4 linked regions of the Rattus norvegicus genome follow. The protein of the gene in region 3 purifies or fractionates together with the protein of the main gene of each other region. This does not show direct contact. Links are inferred from orthologs where the notes say so. Each region holds a gene or a part of one and is shown on either strand. Other genes may lie near its edges. The genes, in order: Jup, Ctnna1, Cdh5 and Ctnnd1.

Region 1 (4,152 bases), on a different chromosome or scaffold from region 3:
AAACTCAGGTCATCACACTTGCCCAACTGAGACATCACACAAGCCCATTAAAGATTCTCTTAATGCGGATCATTTTGAACCCTCTTTGTAGACCAGGGTGGCCTCTAACTCAGAGAGCTGCCTGCCTCTGCCTCCTTGAGTGCCGAGGTTAAGGTTAAAGGCCCGTGTCACCACTGCCTGGCTGCCTGCTCCAGCACTTTTTAAGAACTGTCTCGAACGGACCATCTCACTGGCTTAAATACTGACATTCCTCAGCTGTTTAAGCTACAAAGTTTATTTAATCTCTCCAACCCAAGATAGATAAAGCTAATGAACCCACTTAGATACAGGGTGAAAAGTATACTAGCTGGCCTAAGGTCATACAAAGATTAAGGGGAGAACCCAAACCAGGCCTTCTAATTCTAAACAGAAGAGAACCGGGAACACTCCATCTTTTGTAGGGGGAGAAATCCCAACCTAGCACAAAGCCTATGAAATGCTTTACAAACATCTTATTACTATGTTGAGGCAAGAATGAATAATCCTGACGCTGAGTTGGCTGGCTAGTGAAGGCGTCAGTCCTTTCCCATGCTTCCCCCTGACTCACCTGTTGGACAGGTAGGGGGAAGGGGAGAATAATGAGTCTTACCTGCTCAGGGCTAGGGTGGGGCAAGTAACGCCCCACCTGTTCCATTGGCTTTTGCCTTAGTCTTACTGACAGCCCTCTGTCCAATCATAAGGAAGAAACTTTCTATTTGCCAATAGATGCAGAGTGAGGATGAGACCTCAAGTTGGCGTCCACCCCAGAGTCGACTGGCAGTCCCTGGGGCCAATGGTGAGCGCATAAACAGAGGCGGCCGTGGTAGAGGTCCCGGCGTGAGGCTCCGCCCCTCAATAGGATAGTCAGGCTGGGCAGCCAGTGAGATAACCTCAGAGGGTGGGAGTCTCCCTAGGGGGCGGAGCTTCAAGGGGGCGAGAGGTGTGGCTTGGCTGTCAGGTCCCTTTGCCTTTTGTTCGGTTACTGAGTTGCTGCCTTGGCCAGAGTCCGGAGCAGCCGCCGCCCGAGCGCCCCGAGCTCAGTTCGCTGCCTGCGCCGGCTGTCTCCCGGCCAGACCCGACCCCGACCCGGCTCGGCCCGGCTCCACGCTCAGGTACACCGGATAGGGGTACGTATCACTGAGGGTAGAGTAGGGCAAGCGGCCGAGAGGTTGGTTCCAGCGGTTTCAGGGCAGGTGAGGGCGGGTGCCAGGGAGTGCATCCTACACCAGCGACAGGGGGCGCACTGGGGTCCGGGGCACGGGACCCCTGGGACAAGCGATCTGGGTTGGAGCGCCCCTCCAGGCTCGGTGAACCGCAGGTCTGAGAAGGGCGGGGAGGAACTAGGGCAGGTGCCTCGGAGTTCGCGCCTCCCCCAGGGCCCGCGGAGCTTGCCCGACGCGGCGTCGCTGACTCTCCCCTGGAGCTGACCGGGCAGACTTTGACCCGCTCCGCCTGGTCCCAGATCCCACGGTGACAGGAATTTACCGCTCGGGAAACTTGCTGCCTAGTCTCTTTGGGGCCACCCTCACCCCACCCCACGCGTCATCCTCGCTTTCCCTCCCTCCCTACTCCCCCAGGCCTGGGTGGGGCCCTATTGTCTGCGCCCAGCTTACCCAACTGTGGGGGCCGAGTGCACATTTTCCCAGAGACGCGATTCCCACCTGCTGAGCAGAGCAGGTGAGCGCTTGGAGGACCGAGGCCCTGCCCTGTAGCTCCGAGCTGGACCTGTGGCGCCTCCCTCCGCTCTAGTGTACGCCGGTCTATGGCTTCTCTTACGGAGGTGGATGGGGTGACGGGGGAACTGGTGAAGGGTCTGGGCTCAGTGCCCTACCGATGTCTGTCTGACCTGGTGGCATGGCCTGGAGTCTGGGCCGGTAGAGAAAATTAAGAAACACTCGCCCAGATTTTAGTAGCTTGTGGTTTCCAGAGTGTTGGTAGGGAAACAGCGATATCTTTTGATTTCTGCAACCCATTATTGTTGAGAAATCACTCCAAACAAACTTTCCAGGAGAAAGTAACCGTGGGGGCCTTTTCTAGGATTTTCCCCGTCTCCTTGTTGAGAGCTGATTCAAGGCTTGGTGGTACTTCTTAGAGGAAAGCCTCTTCCCTGGTCAGCTCCAAGCTGAACACAGCCTGTGCGCTTTGACCCGGTTCTCCCTGCCCCCACCTCCATCCTGTTTGCTAGGCCCCTAAGGCCCGAGGTAGGGACCAATGGGGGTGGGTGGGGGCGTTGCTGAAAAGGGAAGTGTCTTCTTCCTTCCCTTTTCGCATCCTCACGGGACCACCACACCCCCTTATATGAGGCCTGCTAAGTGCCTCTCCTCCCAAGCTCTGCCCCTTCCCCAGGAATGGGGTTGGGGCAGGGCTGGGCCAAACTAGGAAGATTGGGAAGAGTGATTAATCTTTCCCCAACTCCCCCGTTCCATCCCCCAGCTTATTTAGCTGGCTGACCATTGAGGCAGGGTAGCATAGGGCAGGAATGTTGCTTGCTGTTCACTGGGTTTGAATTATGAAGGTGCGTCCTTTCTAGAGGACTTGCCAGAAGTCCCTCCTCCACCCACTCTTTAACTGAGTGTTTGGCGGGGAAAGTGGGACAGGAGGAAGTCTTTGCTATGGAAGGCTTCTGCCATGCCAGGCACCCTCAGGGTGAACAGTGTGAGCCCTCCCCTTGGTTCCCTGTGCTGAGAGCTCCTCTCCAGCTGGAATTGTCAACTTCTACTCGGCTTGCTGCACTCTTCTGTACAAATCTGAAGATTGGCCTTTTCATAGGCATTTGGAGTCCAGTCTTCTTGGGGGGACAGAGCAGGAATGACAACGCTAGCGGGGGGGGGGGGCAGAGGGAAGATGGGGTGGGGGTCGTGAGCACTGTTTGCTCTGATTCTCCTGGAAGCTGAGGTGGTGCTTGGTTGTGAATAGAAGAGTGGGGGTGGGAGACATATCCCCCGTAATCTCGCCTTAGGTCCTGTGGTTGGTAAAATATGTGTGACCACCTCTAGGAAGAACTGGGGGCATTAGTTTTAGGCTCATGTCCTCTCCGTGTCAAGGAGGAGGAGGGGTAGGCATTGTCATTAGGTGAACTAAATGAATAGTTTAGCAAATCTGGTTCGTGGCTCTGGTGAAAAGACAGTACTGAGGAAGAAGTAGGGCTATGAGCTGCCCGGCCCAAGCTGGCTTCTGACGGACAGGAGGGAGGGGAAGCAAAGGTAGGATCCGATTAGTCATTTCTCACCAGATCAAGTCTGGGCTTGGGTGACAGAAGCCTCCCCCGCACCCGAGCTCCACCCCATTCCCTCTGGAGCCGCCGTCTGGCCTGCTAAGGTTGAGCTTGGAGAATGCAGCCTGTGGGAACGGAAGGTCAGGCGGGGCCTGCTTGACTGTTTTCCTTCCTGGGGGCCCACAGGTCATTGCCTATGAGAGGGAGGCCTGTCGTCCTGCAGAGCTGCTTTAGGACAAGGTGACACATTTGGCTGGTCCACAGAAGGACAGTGATCTAGGGAGACAGTCTAAGGGGTCAGCTCTGAGAACAGGGACTTGGACTGAGATAGTTTGAATCCCTGAGCAGTGTCTCCTTACCTGTGCAGCCTGCGTCAAAGCACCTTCCTGGCTCAGCGACCTCAGGAATTAATAAACCTAGCTACCCAGAAAGTACTTGACTGATGGTAACTCAAAGCCAGAAGACTGTCTGGTACCAAGCGCCACTAACCATGCTCACAGAGGCAGGCGCACTTTTTTTTTTTTTTAAAGATTTATTTATTTATTTTATGTATATGAACACACTGTAGCTGTCTTCAGACATACCAGAAGAGGGTATCAGATCTCATTACAGATGGTTGTGAGCCACCATGTGGTTGCTGGGAATTGAACTCAGGACCTCTGGAAGAGCAGGCAATGCTCTTAACCACTGAGCCATCTCTCCAGCCCGAGGCAGGCGCACTTTAATGTCTTCTTCAGAAACTCAGGGAAGGATAGCAACTTGCCCAGTGTTGCTAGACTCAAGAGAGGGCTAAGCTCAGACCTCATTCTGCTGTTAGGCTCTACTACAACTCTGGAAGGATTTCTTTTTTCTTTCCCCTTTTTCTTTTGGCTGCTAAGGACCAAATCCAGGGCCTTGTGGATTTGCACGTAGGCAAGCAC
Region 2 (4,215 bases), on a different chromosome or scaffold from region 3:
CCAAACAAATATTTATTATGTAATCATTACGTTCTGACATAGTCAAGTGAAGTAAGGGGAAAGCATAGACACTGCAGTCAGAGAGGACTATGGGAGGCAAAACCCCAAAGGTAGAAACAGAATAAGTGGTTGGACAAGAATGGCCTTGTGAAGGTATGTCTTTTTTGTTTTTGTTTTTGTAGTGCTGAAGACTAAATCCAGGGTATACTAGGCAAGCACTTTATCACCGAGACATCTCCAATTGTCTTTTCTTAAAATTCAAATTATTATGTGTTCTATGTACATGGGTGGATATGCCATCTGTACCAGTGTGGAAGTTATAGGGCAACTCTGTGGACTTCATTCTGTCTTTCCACAACTCAGGTTGCGAGGATAGTTGTTGGCAGAGTGGCAAACACCTTTACCCACAGAGCCATCTCTCTCATTTTCCCACTCTTTTTAAGAGGCTCTAAAAGACCAGGTGTAATGGTGCAGACCTATAATATAATCTCAGGAGTTGCGGGGGTGTGCAGGAGGATTAGGAATTCAGGGTAAATTGGCACTTGGGTAAATTCAATCCCCAGGATCCACATAGTGAAAGAGAAACCGCACGTCTTGATTTCCACACAAGCTCAGAAACTCACGGATCAGAGATTGGCCTGTCTCTGCCTCCGGAACACTGAGACTAAAAACATTGCTGTAATAATAAAAAAAAGTTTTTAGGTCATTCTTTCTTACACAGCCAGTTGGAAACCGGCCTGAGCTATGTAAGACCCTACTTCAAAAATAAAATAACACAACAAAACAAACACCACAAAACAAAAGAAAAAAAGACCAAAACAGATCCTGAGGTTCCCGTTCCACTGTGCCCGGAGAGGTGGAACTTTTACTTGGTGTGTTTCTTCTCCTAAAGCAAAGCAGAAGGTTGCCCCCTTTTCTGGACGCCTTGGACTAGGATACGGGGTACTTGGTCACAGCAGTGCGTTCCGCGAACCCTGCGTCGCCGCGCGGTCTCCGGGAGCCGGACGGGGCGGGGCCTTCCGGGGCCGCGCCCCGAGACTCACCTGAGCCGGGAGCCGTGACTCACCTGCCCTCCGCCCGCCTTTCCCCGCCGCGGGCTGTTCCCCGAGTCTCCGCCCCTCCTTCCCGTCGGGGGTCCGGGGTCTCCGTGCCCAAAGGCCATACAAAAAGGACTTCTGGGGGTCCGGGCCTGGAGTTGCCAGGCTACCTTCCGGGTGGGAGGCTCTCCCTAGAAAGCGCCGGCTGCGCCAGGCCGGGACCAGCGGTGAGGAGGCCTCGGGAGGCGCCGGGAAGAGCGCGCGGAGGGAGGTGCCGGGAAGGGCGGGCGCGGCGCGGCGCGGGGCGGGCCGGGGGCGGGGGCGCAGGGCGGCCCATTTCCTCCTGGGAGCCGGACGGGCGGGAGACAAAGCGGTGGCCGTCGGCTTGGCGCCTCAGGAGTCGTCCAGCGCTCGCCCCGTTCGCCGCAGGTAACTCTTCGTACCTTCCCTCGGGGTGCGCGGGGCCCCCTGGTGGGGCGCGGGTCTCCTCAGGCCGGGGTCCCGGGTGTCCGGCTCGGGCTTTCGGCCGCCGCCGCCCTGGAGCGTCGGGTTAGGGCGGCTTCCCTGAGCAGCCTGGGCCTGGGCGGGCGGAGCCCGACGCTCGGGAAGCAGGGCGACCGCCGGGGCGCTTCCTTGGAAAACTTTCTCCCTCTTTCTAAACTTTGTTCCCGGAGCAGGGAGCGCGCGCGGGATCGGCGTCGCGCCTCAGGCCGTCTCCCTCACTGAGGGACAACCGCGGCGTGTTCCTGGCGGTCGGGCTGTGGGGCGCTTTAGGGACGCGATTGTTTCGAGGATTTGTGTCGGCCACTCCCCTCCCCCTGCCCGCGGCTGAAACTTGGTGGTTTGCGGGACTAGAGGTCGGAGGAGCGGACATTCCAGCCCGACCCATGGAGAATGGAAGTCGTAGTTTCCTGTTCTCCAGCGCTCTTTTCCTTAAGGTGCGCCACACCCGTGTGGACTTGTGGCATGGAGTTTAATTTTTATCTTAAAATTACTCAGCCTCTTTTGCTGCTAAACCTGACTGACATTACTCTTAGTTTTCAGGAGTAGCATTAGAGTTACTAACATTTGATTACTGAGAGCGGATCTTGCTAACTAAGTAGCCCAGTCTGACCTGGATCGCTCGGTTTCCCTGCCTCAGAATCCCGAGGGCGGGCATCGCCAGCCTGCGATGTCAATGACCCGCCTTTCGACTTTAAAAGGAACTTGTTAATATGTGTGTAGAACTTGGGGGGCGGGGATGTTGTTGACTGGATTTGTAACCTTGGTTTTCAAGCAGTGGCCACCCCAATAATTCAGTGAGCGGTTGGCTCAAATCGAGGATTGATACTTCTGTGCCTTCATAACGTTTGGTTTTATTTTAAGTGTGCGTGTGTGTGTGTGTGTGTGTGTGTGTGTGTGTGTCTATGGAACTTAGAATAATTTATGCTGTAAATCTGTTTCATCATTGTTTTGCATCTTTTAGGTGTTTTAAGAAGGTTATTTTGTGTTTAGCGTTGGTTTTTAAAGACTACTGGTGGATGTTACCTCATGAAATGGAATTTGTTTTGTTTTACAAAAGGATTGAGTGGGGAAATAATTGGTGGCCTCTGTTTAATTGTTCATACTTCCTGCCTTAAACTAAGCTAAAAAAAAAAAAAAAAAAAAGACCAGGTTTTTAAAATTCTCTTTGAGGCCTGGAAGCTTCTCAAGTGTCATATCCTTTTTTCTTTTTCCATTCTGGATCTCACTGTGAAGCCTCAAACTAGCTTAAGCTTCCTGAGTGTTGGGGTTTAGATGTGTGCCATCACACCTGTCTGGGTCATATTGTATAATAATGCAAACAACAGAAACTTGTGGGAGCATGGTTGGGGGTGTTAACTAGGTTTATAAGCTGTTCTGGAAGGTGGTGGCTTTTGAACTGGGTGAAGCATGAGTTGAAGTAATGCGACAGAAGGAATAGGGAAATCTAAAAGGGCATTTAAGTGGAATGGTGATATTCTGGTTTTTTCCCCCCTTTACTTTTCAACCCCTCCTTTTCTTGCATATGATTCTAACCAAATATATTGGTTTCCAATATCAGTTGTGTGACACCCATCTCCATTCCCATTAGAAACATTTTATATGGTGATCAGAGATGAAGGGTGGCTTTTTTCCCCTCCTAGTTGAGTATCACTCACCGCCTTGTGCCTTTTCTCATCAAACCCCACACTGTTGTATTGGAGAACAAACCTAGAGCTGTGCTTGCTAGGCATGTGCTCTATATTTGAGCTGCACACCCCTACCTCTGTCATCAACCTTAGCCGCAAACGTCCAGTTTTTTATTTTGAGTGTAGTTTCTCTCCTGACCCACATGGGTCTCCTTATATCTTGTAATTTTAAAGAAAGTCACATTAGTGATAGTACAGCTAGCTCTCCCTGCTTGTTGAAGGTGTCGGTGGTTGTGTACTGGCTGAGACCTAGACAGGATGAAGGAATAGGATCCGAAGCAGGTGTAAGTAGCCTGAGCATTGGCTAGGCATTTGGAGGCCTACAGGTTTAGAGGAGATCTGTTTATTGTTAGTACTGAAGTAGGGAGAAGGTTGCCAGGGAAGGCAAAGGCCAGGTCACAGATTTAGATTTTATTCTAAAACTGTAAGATGATATAGGGCTTTCACGATCTGAACATTGTTTTATTCCTTGCTGGTGCTTAGAGAAAATTTGAATTGGTGTGTGTGTAAAGGCAAGGAGTTAGTGGGGAAGGTCATGTGGGTAAAGGTGACCTGGATGAGTGGAAAGGATCCAGATACAAATTGGGTAGAGGTGGCATCCAGGCATCTGGGTAAAGCTTCTGAAGCATTGAACTCTTTTCTCAAGAGCCAGCGTTTTCATTTCTGGTAGCAAATTTTGTGTTTAAGTTTTTTAGTAACTTCTGTTTGCGTTGTAACTTATTGATAGCCCTGTTTGCAGGCCTTGTTGGGAAGTGAGCCCTGTAAATCTATTCAAGGCAAGGCTCATGCCCTCTCCAACCTTTGGTTGGTATCTGGTAAGGAGGGCAAATTAGATGCTGCACTGAATGAAGGAGGAAGAAAGTCTTTCTCAGTCTAAGCTTAGGGCAGTCAATGACAGATGAGGTAATTGATTACAGTCTAACTGCTGTTCAGGGCAACTGGAGCTTTCTTCAACCTTGCCCTGCCCAAATCTAGTCAGGGACAGGATC
Region 3 (3,562 bases):
TGGTCTCAGAGTCGTTTGCATACAAATGTTCTATATATTGGAGTCTCTCATTTCTCCCAATTTGCTTTTGGCTGTGTGGCTAAGTAAGTCCTCTGACCATTAGTGTTACAACCTCCCAGGAACCTACAAAAAAAAAAAAAAAAAAAGTAGACCATCTCTCCTTTGCCCATAGCCACTGAGTACTGAATAGCAGTGACAGCAGTGTGTGTGGGGGTGTATCTGTGTGTGTGTGTGTGTGTGTGTGTGTGTGTGTGTGTGTGTGTGTAAAACAATACAGCAATGAGCTGAGCAAAAGCCCCTGTTGGGATGGGTTTGGAAAAAGTGATGTGTACCCACTGACCACAGAAACAGAAAATTGGGGTCTTACACGCTGACTTGGCCACCCTTAGGCTGGGTCAAAGCAGTCACCCAAGTACATCCTCTGCAAAGGGACAAGCCTGTGCTTAAAGGGTTCAAACATGAGGCCGGGAAACAAAGAGGGCAATGAAATCACGCAGAAAGAGGCAGCTTCCCCCCATGGGACAAGAGGGCAGGTGCTCCTGGCAGAGCCTCACTCTGTGGTCTTGATGCTTGCAGACAATACCGCCAACATCACAGTCAAGTATGGACAGTTTAATCGGGAGCATACCAAGTTCCACTACCTGCCTGTGCTCATCTCCGACAATGGGATGCCCAGCCTGACTGGAACCGGCACGCTAACAGTGGCTGTGTGCAAATGCAACGAACAGGGCGAGTTCACCTTCTGTGAGGAGATGGCCGCACAGGCGGGTGTCAGCATCCAGGCACTGGTAGCCATCTTTCTGTGCATCCTCACCATCACAGGTCAGTGTCTCATAGACAGGGAGGAGACATTAAGAGGGCTTCAGAGAAGAGGCAGGGTTCTGGCCCTATCCTGCACTACTCTGGAGTTCACAGTTCTTGTATGTATAGGATACAGAGATATAAATAGGTAACCCCACTAACCTGGTGCTATATGGAATAAGGGAAAGGAGGATGAGCCATAAAATCATTCTTCAAGCTAACTCCATTTCAAATTAACCTGGTGTATTGCAGTGACAGGGTCACTAGCATGTGTCAAGCACCAGGTTCAATATCACCTTCAATTTCAAAACAAAAAAGAAAATGAATCTACACTTGGCATTCCTTCATTTGCTAAATATATTTTGAGTGCATACTATATTCTGGGTGTTGTTTGGGGCACCGATGTACATTAAAATGATTATTTACTGTATTACTCATCTATTTTGAGACAAGATCTCACTGTACAGCCCCTGACTGGCCTGGAACTCACTCTGTAGAGCATGTGGACCTCCAATTCACTTGCTTTTGCCCTCAGAGTGCTGGGATTAAAGGTGTGTGCCACCATTTCTAGCTTTAATTGTTTCTGAAATTCCTTTATAATGGAAAGTTTTGAGACTTCTAGCCTGGAATGTCGCTGGAGGGTTTTTTTTTTTTTTTGCTTTTTTAGAATTCCTCCAGAGTCCATTTTTGCTTTGGTTTGCATTTTTTTGTTTTGTTTTGTTTTGCTTTTGCTTTTGCTTTTGTTTCATTTTGAGCCTTGTCACTTTGGGGCACTTTAGGCTTCACCTAGGTCTGACATTGCCTAAGAAACAGATCTCAGACAAGGCTTTGTGAAGAGCAAGCTGCCAGGAAAGGCATTTTACACTAGCACCCAGCAGAGTCTGACTTCTCCCATTGAGAGCGGATGTTCCTTCTTGAAAGTACTTTCTCTATGCTGTACCAGCCCTGAGGCGCACACAGAGAAGCGAGGATGTCATGAGGTACAGGCAGCCTTTGCTCCAGGCCTCTGAACTTCCCACTGTGTGTGTTCATTTCCTGGACCTCTGTGCCAGAGACATTAGAGACTGACTTCTCTTTCATGGATGATGGTGGTGGTGGTGGTGGTGGTGGTGGTGGTGGTGGTGGTGGTGGTGGTGATGATGATAATGATGATGGTGATGATGATGATGATGGTGGTGATGATGATGATGAAAGTATTGATGCCACCCACATCACAGAATCGCAAAATACCAGTGTCACGGGGGCATTCAATGTATCCACACTGCAGACAGGAAAACTGGGGCTCGGGGAGGCCAGGGTCACTCTTTGTATTTAACAAATTAGTAACTAACTCAAGGCTAGAAAACTTGATGGCTTGGGTCTCATTGAGGGAGCTCTCCACAGCTCAAGGATCAGGGGACCTTCCCACACCCATTCCCACCCAGTCTTCAGTAGGTATATGCCACTGACTTATATTTTGGGCCAAACCAAATCTGTTTGCCCAGTCATAGTAGTGGCCCTGGGAGTCTAGGCTGATCCAATGAACCTGTCTGACCCACATCTCTTCTTCGGACTTCTTGGCTAGCAGTGATCACCTTGCTGATCTTCCTGCGGAGGCGGCTCCGGAAGCAGGCGCATGCTCATAGCAAGAGTGCGCTTGAGATTCATGAGCAGTTGGTCACCTACGACGAGGAGGGCGGTGGCGAGATGGACACCACAAGCTACGACGTGTCTGTGCTTAATTCTGTGCGCACCGGCTCCAACAAGCCTCTGCGGTCCACGATGGATGCCCGGCCAGCAGTATACACACAGGTGCAGAAGCCTCCACGACTGGCGCCTAGCCTGCACGGAGGGCCCAGAGAGATGGCCACCATGATCGAGGTGAAGAAAGAAGAGGCAGACAATGATGGCGGTGGTCCCCCCTACGATACACTGCACATCTACGGCTACGAGGGCACAGAGTCCATCGCAGAGTCCCTCAGCTCCCTGAGCACCAATTCCTCCGACTCTGACATCGACTATGACTTCCTCAATGACTGGGGACCCAGGTTCAAGATGCTGGCAGAGCTGTATGGCTCAGATCCTCAGGAAGAGCTCATCATCTAGGGTTTGTGGTCTTTGGGCCTGGGGACCCAATCTCATTGCAACCTGGATCAGACACCCGACATTGCCTTCCCTGATTTCCAAGGTGTGACACAGACTCTCCAACCCAGTGGCCCTTGCCTGTGGGTACCAAAGACACTTCCATCCCCAAGGTAGCAAATTTCAGGCCCCTTAAATATCCAGGAACAGAAACATATCTTATTGATGGCCACTCCAAAAAACTGGAAAAGCGAGACTAGTATTCTCTCTGGGATCCCATCCTGCCCCCCCCCCACCACACACACACACACACACACACACACACACACACACACACACACACACACTCCCAATCTATTCCAGACCTCCTGTCCCTTCAAAACTGCCAAGCAAAACTGACTATGCTAAACTTCTAGTCTTCCGCAAGGGTCTCCGAGCCCCTGGTAAGGCTATCTGTCTGTCTGATGGCAGAAGACTGGATGGCATGAGCTATTGAACAGGACTTCAAGCCCAGTCCAGAGGGAGGCTGTAACTGATCCATTATGCCTGCTCTCAGGAGGCCCAGCACTGCTGAGTCTCCCTCACATCTACCCAATGCCCAGCTACTCCCCAGCCCCTCCCCAGGCCTGTCCAGGGAGGAAGGAGACAGTCAGCTGCTCCTGACCTTGGGTCCTGAGATGATCCGGCAGGCCCAGCCCTA
Region 4 (3,562 bases), on a different chromosome or scaffold from region 3:
AGGTTGCTGTTTAGCTGGGCTGGCAGCAGACACCTTCAGCAACCCTGTTCCTATAGCACTGGGTTCATAGGTGCAGTCAAGGTCAGTCCGACTTGGGCAGTAAGTGCTGTCAATGACTGAGCTTCCCTTAAGCTCCAAAGATAGTTTTCTTTAGGTGTGTGTGTCCCATATATAGTTAAGCTGCTTAGTAGCCTTCCAGATTATATATTTTCTTAGTAGAAAAAACAGTGACCTATGTATTGGGTCACCAACTAGTTGCAAAAGCCATTAAATGTCTATAATTAGTCCTTCTATTTGCATGAAGATAAGGATTTTGAGGATCTTGAGGTTCTTACAAGGCAATCTGAGAGAAGACGGATTGAGTCATGCATTTAGGATTGATAGTTTAATACTCAAATCATGGAGACTTAGATTTTCTTGGAAACCATCATAAGCATTCTCTTTTCCAACTGAACCTTTTCTTTTATGTCCCTAAGCTTGTGGAGAATTGTGTTTGCCTCCTTCGGAACTTATCATATCAAGTTCATCGTGAAATCCCACAGGCAGAGCGTTACCAGGAGGCACTTCCTAGTGTGGCTAACAGTACTGGGCCACATGCTGCCAGTTGCTTTGGGGCCAAGAAGGGCAAAGGTGAGTCTTATCTAGTTCCTATTCTTTAATATGGGGCAAGAGGAACACTTAGCTTTATAGGTACTTAATAAATAGTGTGGAAGTCTCCCTATGGAGATGTGTCCTTTTGCTCTGGTGGTGGTGGTGGTAGTGGTTGTTGGTGGTGGTGGTGGTAGTGGTGGTAGTGATGGTGGTTGGTGGTGGTTGGTGGTTGGTGGTGGTGGTGGTAGTGGTGGTAGTGATGGTGGTTGGTGGTGGTTGGTGGTTGGTGGTGGTTGGTGGTGGTTGTTGTTGTTGGTGGTGGTGGTAGTGGTGGTAGTGATGGTGGTTGGTGGTAGTGGTGGTAGTGATGGTGGTTGGTGGTGGTTGGTGGTTGGTGGTGGTTGGTGGTGGTTGTTGTTGTTGGTGGTGGTTGGTGGTGGTTGTTGTTGTTGGTGGTGGTTGGTGGTAGTGGTGGTTGGTGGTGGTGGTGGTTGGTGGTGGTTGGTGGTAGTGGTGGTTGGTGGTGGTTGGTGGTGGTTGTTGTTGTTTGGTGGTGGTTGTTGGTGGTTGTTGTTGGTGGTTGGTGGTGGTGGTTGGTGGTGGTGGTTGTTGGTAGTAGTGGTGGTGGTTGGTGGTAGTGATGTGAGGATGGTGATGATTGTTAGTGTTTTGGCATCTAGGGCAGTGAATGACAAGAACTGAGCTAAACTGGGGCCTTCCTCCCTATTCTTCCTCCTCCTCTGCTTTCTTGTGTACTTGCCCATGATCCTGTTGACATCTTTCTCCTGCGTTTTCTTCCTTCATTTCTCTCCTCGCTTTCCACCTTGGTGATGCACTGGAAGATGAGTGGTTCTCTAGAGGTAAGTGCAATCTTTTAAGGCGCTTGTCTGCTAACTTGCATGGTTTGGTTCTTACCTTTCTTAATATCTCTTTGTCTAACCCTTCCCTGTGGATGCATGTAGGAAAACTTAGTTGAGGAGAACCATTGGAATCAGTTTAAACCTTCTGGGTTGTGGTTTTGAGATGCTGTTTCTGGACAGCAGTCCATGTTATCAGAACTGAGTTCACAGCATCCGGAGTGGCCTTCCTTTTATACAGTTTACTGCCTGTTTTGGTCCTCCTTGTTTCTGCATCATCCCTGTTGGGACAGTTATGTGTGGGCTTTCCCTTCTTTTGCTTCTTTTGATGCTGCATCTATGATCTGAAGATTCTGACTGAAGGATGAAAACTGTCAGGTCGAATCTTTCCTTTTAAAAAAAAAAGTTCTTTACCCTGTTCTCTCCGCCCTTTCTCCATTTTCATAGGGAAAAAGCCTACCGAGGATCCAGCAAATGATACAGTGGATTTCCCTAAAAGAACTAGTCCTGCTCGGGGTAAGCTACCCTCCTTATTCTCTGTCTCTAGAGAATTTGGATATGGTAACATGTTTTATGCACTATGTGAACATTTCTCTCTGACTGAGTAGATTTGAAGTGACAGTAAAAGTGTTGGGAAAATTCATTCACAAGTATTTAGTCTAGAGCTAGAAACTAGGCTGGGTATAATGGTGCATGTATGCAACCTTAGTACTTGAGTAGCTGAGGCAGGAGAACTGCTATCAGTTCAAAGCCATGTTGGGATCCACAGGGAGAGCATGCCTCAGAAAAACATAAGAAAAGAGACTTAGCTATCTGCATGGCCACTGCAGGTTTTTGGATCTTGAACCTTACTGTTAGAAGAAATGCCTTTATCTCAGCTTGGATGTTTGGATCCAGTATATTAATGAATATAAACTTGCTAGCTTTCTATAAATATAAAGGTTGATAATTAAATTATGTTATCTCAGGCTGTTTATCATTTAGTCATACTCATGATGGGGACAATGATTGAGTTAAATTAGAAATAATTTTTTGTTTCAGATGTTGAATCATTAGGCCTGGTTGCTTATGGAACAAACAAAGCTAAAGTTAGCTATGAGGTACAAGTCAAGGAGAAAGGAGAGAGGAATTGAATATAATTGCGTTGCTGTCTATTCTCTTTTTTACCATGGGCTAGTAGTAGTTTTTTTGTTTGTGAGTCAGCACCACACCATGTAACCATGGCTTCCTGGAACACTTGTCTGTAGACCAGGCTGGCTTCAAACTCACAGAGATCCGTGGTACATGTGTTGTCCTAGTACTCACAGGTTAAGACAGGAAGATTATGAGTTTGAGGCCAGTCTGCTTGACATTGCAAGGCCCTGTCTCAAAAGACAAAACAAAAACCCGAGAAGACAGACATGAAATCAAGCCTCTGAATTTGCTCATGACTGATAGGGAATTCGAGGGGCCTGATGATGGAGAAGCAGAACTGCAGGCAGCCAGAGCCTGGTTTGTAGGCATTGATTAGTGATTTCTGTTTTGCCCTTTCCTGTGCAGGCTATGAACTCTTATTTCAGCCAGAAGTGGTGCGAATATACATTTCACTCCTTAAGGAGAGCAAGACACCTGCCATCCTAGAAGCCTCGGCTGGAGCTATCCAGAACTTGTGTGCTGGGCGCTGGACAGTGAGTACCTCTAAGAAAATGGATTTGGAGATAGGGAGTGTAGATAACTAGTTTGCTACCATTTGTAATCTTTTTACCGCTTCCCATGTGTTTCCTAGTATGGCAGATACATCCGCTCTGCTCTTCGTCAAGAGAAGGCTCTCTCTGCCATAGCTGACCTCCTGACCAGTGAACACGAGCGAGTAGTGAAAGCTGCCTCTGGGGCACTGAGAAATCTGGCTGTGGATGCTCGGAACAAAGAGTTAATTGGTAAGGATTTGAACTAGTGCCTAGCACAGTGCCTGGAATCCAGCAAACGTTTAGTCATTTGTTGACATCACTGAGGAGAAGGATCTTATAATCCTTCATAGTTTATATTTCTGAGTGTTGAAGGTTCATAGTTTTGTGGATCTTACAAAAGCAAGAAGTGATGATTCTTCCAAAACATTATAACCATTATTATTTGTT

The links.
Region 1: the proteins of Cdh5 (region 3) and Jup purify together in Homo sapiens (affinity purification with western blotting; 3 studies listed by BioGRID and IntAct, with this or other methods). This does not show direct contact. The link is inferred for Rattus norvegicus from reciprocal best matches to the Homo sapiens genes CDH5 and JUP.
Region 2: the proteins of Cdh5 (region 3) and Ctnna1 purify together in Homo sapiens (affinity purification with western blotting; 4 studies listed by BioGRID and IntAct, counting the BioPlex papers as one, with this or other methods). This does not show direct contact. The link is inferred for Rattus norvegicus from reciprocal best matches to the Homo sapiens genes CDH5 and CTNNA1.
Region 4: the proteins of Cdh5 (region 3) and Ctnnd1 purify together in Homo sapiens (affinity purification with western blotting; 3 studies listed by BioGRID and IntAct, counting the BioPlex papers as one, with this or other methods). This does not show direct contact. The link is inferred for Rattus norvegicus from reciprocal best matches to the Homo sapiens genes CDH5 and CTNND1.

The regions. Positions count from the first base shown.
Region 1 is NC_086028.1:85,824,587-85,828,738, reverse strand, and holds the start of Jup (junction plakoglobin), read left to right. Parts: upstream 1-1,309; 5' UTR 1,310-1,695; exon of another isoform or gene 1,696-1,768; intron 1,769-4,152. UniProt on the Homo sapiens protein: Common junctional plaque protein. The membrane-associated plaques are architectural elements in an important strategic position to influence the arrangement and function of both the cytoskeleton and the cells within the tissue.
Region 2 is NC_086036.1:27,001,200-27,005,414, forward strand, and holds the start of Ctnna1 (catenin alpha-1), read left to right. Parts: upstream 1-1,400; 5' UTR 1,401-1,466; intron 1,467-1,641; exon of another isoform or gene 1,642-1,975; intron 1,976-4,215. UniProt on the Homo sapiens protein: Associates with the cytoplasmic domain of a variety of cadherins. The association of catenins to cadherins produces a complex which is linked to the actin filament network, and which seems to be of primary importance for cadherins cell-adhesion properties.
Region 3 is NC_086037.1:822,789-826,350, reverse strand, and holds the end of Cdh5 (cadherin-5), read left to right. Parts: intron 1-576; coding exon 577-822; intron 823-2,365; coding exon of another isoform or gene 2,366-2,368; coding exon 2,369-2,886; 3' UTR 2,887-3,044; downstream 3,045-3,562. UniProt on the Homo sapiens protein: Cadherins are calcium-dependent cell adhesion proteins. They preferentially interact with themselves in a homophilic manner in connecting cells; cadherins may thus contribute to the sorting of heterogeneous cell types.
Region 4 is NC_086021.1:90,099,639-90,103,200, reverse strand, and holds part of Ctnnd1 (catenin delta-1), read left to right. Parts: intron 1-476; coding exon 477-630; intron 631-1,433; coding exon of another isoform or gene 1,434-1,451; intron 1,452-1,895; coding exon 1,896-1,964; intron 1,965-2,987; coding exon 2,988-3,115; intron 3,116-3,213; coding exon 3,214-3,364; intron 3,365-3,562. UniProt on the Homo sapiens protein: Key regulator of cell-cell adhesion that associates with and regulates the cell adhesion properties of both C-, E- and N-cadherins, being critical for their surface stability.